Ovis aries: one gene and its partner. The protein of the gene in region 1 interacts with the protein of each later gene in a pairwise test. Links are inferred from orthologs where the notes say so. Each region holds a gene or a part of one and is shown on either strand. Other genes may lie near its edges.

Region 1 (4,289 bases):
CTAAGTAGGAACCTCAGAGAGTAAAGCCCTGGCAGGTCAGAAGCCTCTATGTCCTTCTCAGGAAGAAGGATATCTATCCAGGGAGAAGTGACATCTGTCCTCTGAGTAGGCTGAGCTGAGCACCCCAACAGCAAATGGGGGTAAAAATGAGGAAACTGGCTCAAGTTTTGCCCCACATCATCCCTGACAGCCTAAGCACTGGATTTGGTTAATTTGGTCCCTTATCCTGCTAAGATCTGGCCCTCCCAGAAGAAAGACTCGCTTATCCAGGAACTTTCACAGGGCACTTAAAACATTGTGAACAGAAATTCCCTTCTCCAATTCCTTAAAAAATTGCAAATAGAACTACCTTATGACCCAGCAATCCCACTGCTGGGCGTACACACCGAGGAAACCAGAATTGAAAGAGACACATGTACCCCAATGTTCATCGCAGCACTGTTTATAATAGCCAGGACATGGAAACAACCTAGATGTCCATCAGCAGATGAATGGATAAGAAAGCTGTGGTACATATACACAATGGAGTATTACTCAGCCGTTAAAAAGAACTCATTTGAATCAGTTCTGATGAGATGGATGAAACTGGAGCCGATTATACAGAGTGAAGTAAGCCAGAAAGAAAAACACCAATACAGTATACTAACACATATATATGGAATTTAGGAAGATGGCAATGACGACCCTGTATGCAAGACAGGAAAAAAGACACAGATGTGTATAACGGACTTTTGGACTCAGAGGGAGAGGGAGAGGGTGGGATGATTTGGGAGAATGGGAATTCTAACATGTATACTATCATGTAAGAATTGAATCGCCAGTCTATGTCTGACGCAGGGTGCAGCATGCTTGGGGCTGGTGCATGGGGATGACCCAGAGAGATGTTGGGGGGAGGGAGGTGGGAGGGGGGTTCATGTTTGGGAACGCATGTAAGAATTAAAGATATTAAAATTTAAAAAATAAAAAACTAAACCTGAAAAAAAAAAATAAAGGCTTGAACTGAGAAAAAAAAAAAAAGAAATTCCCTTCTCCAGACATAGCATCTTAAGCCTTCCCACCCACATGTCCCTCAAGCCCCGGCCTACATTGGCTCTGCATGGCTCTCCAGACACGTTCTGGTTCTCACTCTCCCACTCCGAATTCCTGTCCACCACTTGCTGCCTGCTTCCTCTCTCCCTCTCAGTTTTCAGTTTCTCCCTGAGTGCTTCTCTGGATCTGAGCCTCTAGGTGCCAAGGAAGGGGAGTCCCTGGGCAGAGTGATCCTTGGCTCAGACAGCTTAGTGGGAGAATTCCAAAGGCTTTTCCTACCCTTCCCGAGCCTCTGGGCAAGGAGGGCGGGATCTTGGTTCCAGGGTCTCAGTACCCCCTGTGCCATTTGAGCTGCTTGCGCTCATCATCTCTATTAATAACCATGCTCCCTCCCCCACTGCCAGTGCTGCCCCCACGCCTGCCTAGCTCGGGTTCTCTAGTCACAGCAGCTCAGTCCTCCAGAGCTGCTGGACCCCAGGGAGAGCTGACCACCGCCTGAGCAGCCGGTAAGTCTCCAGCTGATGGCCCAAGGGGCTGGAGCGCCTTCTGTCACTGCTGTGTCTGTGTCTGTAACAGTGACCCTTGATCCCAGGGGAGCTGCCCCCTTCCTCCATCTATACTTATTCCCCAGTTGTCCAGTTGAGGGGGGCCACAGAGAGTTGGTGGGAGAAGGACTCCAGAGGGTGGGGGGACTGAGATGTTGGGGGAGACACTGAAGAAACGGGCAGAGGGGTGGAGACTGAGAGGCTGGGTGGAAAATAAGAACCTAGTTGGGGTTGAGAGGGGTACAGGGAAAGTCCATTTAGCAGTTCCTGGGCTCCAGCTGCAGCAGACCCCACTAAGCAAGTAGAATTGCAGGTGTGTTGTGAGATAGGACTCAGTAGAAGACAGCATTTTGCTGAGACCCAGCTTCTGTGAAGGAGGGGCTGGAATTTGTATCTTTTTCCAGCTTGTCCCCATCTACTGCCAGGTCCTATGAGTATGTTTCTGTCCTCCCTGAATTTTGTGCTGCTGTGATATTGCTGAATTGATATGCATCAAGGTTCAAATGTCCCCTGACCTCCCTCTGCACTCTGGTTCTAGGGTCCAGTCAGGGCTGGGGAGGGCAGGGGGGAGTGACTGAGAGAGCAGAAGCAGAGTGCTGTGACCTCCCAGGCCATGATCCAGCTGGCCCAAGGGAGGGGCAATAACCTCTTCATCCTATGGAGAATGTTTTTGGCTGGATCTCCTCAATGCTGGCAGAACATTTTTTCTGCTCCACCCCCACCTCCCCACCCCTGCCCTGGGGCTTGGGGAAAACTGAGAGACTAGAGCTTGGAATGACAGCTCCAAACTGAGAGACCCATGCAAATAAAAACTTCATATCATGCCAAACCAATGAAATCTGGGTGCATTGCCCTACCTGTAATTTGTTTGTTTTATTCCCAACATAACGTTGTATTCCTAAACTCTGCACCATCTCTGTGTAAAACAGCTGAATAGAGAGGTTGGTAGAAGGTAGGAACAGGGGGTATATCTATACTTTCTGCTCTGCTTCCTAAGAAGAGAAGCCATAAAGCAATGGGTTTTCACCTTTTGTGTGTGTTTGTGAGTCGCTCGGTCGTGTCAGACTCTGCAACTCCATGGGGTGTTGCACGCCAGGCTCCTCCGTCCATGGTCCATGTGATTTTCCAGGCAAGAATACTAGAGTGGGTTGCCATTTCCTTCTCCAGAGGATCTTCCTGACCCAGGGATCAAACCCAGGTCTCCTGCATTGCAGGCAGACTGTTTACTGTCTGAGCTACCAGGGAAGCCTTTTCCTCTGAAAAATCTAATGAAGTGTTTTTCCTGCAAGTCTTTAAGCAGTACCTACTGGGGACACTCACTCTAGACCCTGTCCATCCTTCAGCTTCCCCCTCCCACCCTGTCCAGGCTCCATCCACCTCCACAATGCCGCTCTCAGGGACCCCAGCCCCCAATAAGAAGAGGAAATCCAGCAAGCTGATCATGGAACTCACTGGAGGTATGGCATGTTCGCACCTACCTAGTATGGGACTTCTTAGTAAGAGTATCTCTGGCCCAAGAGTTCCAGAAATATCATAAGGTTGTATATGTCTTAAGGTGAAGAGATATGAAGAGACACGAGGAATTTGGGGTGGTGGTGGGGTTTACAGGGGTGGTGGGGGGTGGAGAACAAGAAAGAATTCAACACTGACTACTCCCCCTTCCACCCTTTTCACCTTGTAATCTGAGACAGTAATATCCCTGCCATATTACCCAGCGCAGGTCCAAGACAACAGGACCCACAGGTCAATGAGGTTTGTTTGAGGAGAAAACATATATGCTGCAGACTGGCACAGAGTAAGGTCTCAATAAGAGCTTAATTTCCTTACTTCTTTCCCCAGAACGAAGGAGCTTTGTCTGAGCACTTAAAACGGAAAATTCCTTGAGCATTTTTCCTGGGGGTAGATGAGCTTTCCTAATACCGAGAGGCTGTTTGCAGCCAGAGTTTATGAGAAGAGAAGGGAAAGAAGTTGAGACAGGAGTCTATATTTAGAGGTGGCCTTTGGGCCTCCCCCCATGCTAGGCTTCCCCAATGTTCTCCACCTATGATGTTTCTTTACTCTTTTGCCTTGTACCCCATACCTCTGTTACGCCATGTACCCTCTCCACGCCACTTTAGTATTCCCTCTGTCTTCCCCTCTACACCCCATTTCCCATGCGTTCTCTCCAACTCCAAACCCAGGAAATCAAAATCCCTCATAGACTAGACAGAATTTAACCAGACATCAGAGACAGCATCTGCTTCCCTCAGTGACCTCCACTGGGACACACACACACGCTTAGTTGCGGATGGCAGCTGCATTTGGAACTAGCAAACCCCACTTTCCTCTTCCCTTGTCTCTGCCTCCCCACCTCCCTGAAAGGTCGACAAGAGAGTTCAGGCCTGAACCTGGGCAAGAAGATCAGTGTCCCAAGAGACGTGATGTTGGAGGAGCTTTCGCTGCTCACTAACCGGGGCTCCAAGATGTTCAAACTGAGGCAGTTGCGTGTGGAGAAGTTTATCTATGAAAACCACCCTGATGTCTTCTCTGACAGCTCAATGGTGAGTTTAGAACTCTACAACTCTTGAAGCCTAGTGCTTCTTCTGACAGTTTCTTGGCAGGCCCAGAGTTTCCAAAATATTATCAACCTCCCCTCCCTGCAAATTTATAAACTCATTAACCCCTCAGATATAGCATGCCTCCAATAGATGGAGGGTGAATTACCATCCACCCCGA
Region 2 (2,782 bases), on another chromosome or scaffold:
CAAGATCCCAGGTGGGCACCGGAAGAGCCTGGTGGGGTGGGGCTGTGGGGAGGGCCCAGAGCCTGTCCCCGGGGCCTCTGTCCTTCTGGCTAACTTCTCACCTCCCTCCCCTCCGCCGGCTCTACCTGTCCCACAGGGAACTGGTTCCAGATGGTGTCCGCCCAGGAGCGCCTGACACGCACCTTCACCCGCAGCAGCCACACATACACCCGCACAGAGCGCACAGAGATCAGCAAGACGCGGGGCGGGGAGACCAAGCGCGAGGTGCGGGTGGAGGAGTCCACCCAGGTTGGCGGAGACCCCTTCCCCGCCGTCTTCGGGGACTTCCTGGGCCGGGAGCGCCTGGGCTCTTTTGGCAGCATCACCCGGCAGCAGGAGGGTGAGCAGCACCAGCTGGGCTCTTCACAGGGAGGTGGGCCTTCTGTCCCTTGGGACAGCATGGGGAGGCTGCTGGTCTGAGCAGAGGAGGGGGTGTTTACTGAGGGAGGGAGGGAGGGAAGGGCGAGGGCCTGGGGCAGCCCCGGTGTCGCCCTGACACTCCCCACCCCCTGCAGGTGAGGCCAGCTCTCAGGACATGACTGCACAGGTGACCAGCCCGTCGGGCAAGACAGAAGCCGCCGAGATCGTGGAGGGGGAGGACAGCGCGTACAGCGTCCGCTTTGTGCCCCAGGAGATGGGGCCCCACACAGTCACTGTCAAGTACCGCGGCCAGCATGTGCCAGGCAGCCCCTTTCAGTTCACCGTGGGGCCGCTGGGTGAAGGCGGTGCCCACAAGGTGCGGGCTGGAGGCACAGGGCTGGAGCGAGGGGTGGCTGGCGTGCCAGGTAAGGGGGCGGGTGCCCGGGACGAGGGATGGGGGCAGGACAGCCAGCAGGATGGGCGACAGTGCTAAGAGTTGCCCCGTCCCATTTCTGTCTCCAGCTGAGTTCAGCATCTGGACCCGAGAAGCAGGTGCCGGGGGCCTATCAATTGCTGTGGAGGGTCCCAGCAAGGCGGAAATTGCATTTGAGGATCGCAAGGATGGCTCATGTGGGGTCTCCTATGTCGTCCAGGAGCCAGGTGGGCATCTTGCTGGGCCTGCCTGACTTTCCAGACCAGGCTTCTGCTCAGCCCGGCAGGAGATGGGGCTCCCAAACCAACCCCTCACCTGGGCCACTGCAGTTTCTCTGCCCATTTCCCTCCACCCTACACCCCCAGGAACACGTGTCTCCAGAGCTGAGCTCGACCTAGGAGCTTGTCCGGGCCTGAGATCAGGGTGGGGTCGTTTCCCCTGCTGCTGCCCCCCGTCCTGGAGCTTGCGCTGACTGGTCTTCTCTCCCCAGGTGACTACGAGGTCTCCATCAAGTTCAACGACGAGCACATCCCAGACAGCCCTTTCGTGGTACCCGTGGCCTCCCTCTCAGATGATGCTCGCCGTCTCACTGTCACCAGCCTCCAGGTGTGTGCCCGGGGTGGAGGGGGGGATGAGGCCCTCCTGCCACCCTGAGAGATGGGCAGGAGTAGAGGATGGCAGCTCCATGTGACCAGGGACTTAGCAGTGACCTTGGAAGGTCCAGACAGATGGCCCCTCTCTCCCAGTGTTTGGACAACAGGGGGCTCTAGCTATACTAGCTGCCCCTTGGGGTAGTCTTGGAAGCCTCAGGTGCCACTGTGTCCCTCCTCCCCCTTCCCCATCCTAGAACTGGCCTCATCTTCACGACCTACCCGCCCTCAAGCCGCCCAATCAGCCCCACCTTCTCCATCAAGTGCCCCCAGGGCAGTCCAGCCCACATGTCTCTTTCCCATCCCAGCTACTGAGTTCTCGCAGTCCACACAATGCTGTCCCAGCACTGGGTTCTCTATCAGGCCGGCTTTATAGTATCCAGGTCTTACCTCCCCAGCCAGGACAGGGCACATCATCTCTGGTCCCCAACCATGCCGGGCACAGCCAGGTGGCCCCACCCCATAGCAGGTGGTTGCCAAGGCCAAAGACCCAGCCTCTGCCTCCCATCGCAGCCTTGTTCAGAGCCTCCCTGAGCTGGGCCAGGCAGCAGGGGGCAGCTGGGGGTGGGAGGAGGGAGCCTCCAGGCTGGGCAGGAAGGGATATCAGTGCTAGGCTGCAGACATGAGCCCTCCAGGCCCTCCCAGAAGTCTGAGCACCCTCTGTGGTGTCTGCAGGAGACCGGGCTCAAGGTGAACCAGCCGGCGTCCTTTGCGGTGCAGCTGAATGGCGCACGGGGCGTGATCGATGCTAGGGTACACACGCCCTCAGGTGCAGTGGAGGAGTGCTACGTCTCCGAGCTGGACAGTGGTGAGCTGGCCTGTCCCTGCCAGGCTAGGACCTTCTGGAAAGGGGAGGGAAAAGACTAAGGCTCACTGACCAACCTCTGTCCCCACAGACAAGCACACCATCCGTTTCATCCCCCATGAGAATGGCGTCCACTCCATCGACGTCAAGTTCAATGGTGCCCATATCCCTGGCAGTCCCTTCAAGATCCGAGTTGGGGAGCAGAGCCAGGCTGGGGACCCAGGCTTGGTGTCGGCCTATGGTCCTGGGCTCGAGGGAGGCACTACAGGTGAGTGCCTGGGGCTGGGGAGAGGGGTGGACAGTGCTGATGAGCCCCAAGTCCTGGCAGAGGTCTGCTCCGGGGAGCCTGGGCCCATCCCAGCTTTGGGCCCCAAGCCCTTCTTGCCTACATCCTTGCTACCTCTGGTCCCCAGGTGTGTCGTCAGAGTTCATCGTCAACACCCTGAATGCAGGCTCAGGGGCCTTGTCTGTCACCATTGACGGCCCATCCAAGGT

What was found. The genes of interacting proteins can lie anywhere in the genome.
Region 2: the proteins of MYOZ1 (region 1) and FLNC interact in a two-hybrid assay, tested with the Homo sapiens proteins (2 studies listed by BioGRID and IntAct). The link is inferred for Ovis aries from reciprocal best matches to the Homo sapiens genes MYOZ1 and FLNC.

Annotation. Positions count from the first base shown.
Region 1 is NC_056078.1:28,836,325-28,840,613, reverse strand, and holds the start of MYOZ1 (myozenin-1), read left to right. Parts: upstream 1-1,431; 5' UTR 1,432-1,535; intron 1,536-2,917; 5' UTR 2,918-2,958; coding exon 2,959-3,031; intron 3,032-3,935; coding exon 3,936-4,114; intron 4,115-4,289. UniProt on the Homo sapiens protein: Myozenins may serve as intracellular binding proteins involved in linking Z-disk proteins such as alpha-actinin, gamma-filamin, TCAP/telethonin, LDB3/ZASP and localizing calcineurin signaling to the sarcomere.
Region 2 is NC_056057.1:94,519,071-94,521,852, forward strand, and holds part of FLNC (filamin-C), read left to right. Parts: coding exon 1-11; intron 12-136; coding exon 137-379; intron 380-554; coding exon 555-824; intron 825-921; coding exon 922-1,059; intron 1,060-1,322; coding exon 1,323-1,438; intron 1,439-2,157; coding exon 2,158-2,290; intron 2,291-2,378; coding exon 2,379-2,555; intron 2,556-2,700; coding exon 2,701-2,782.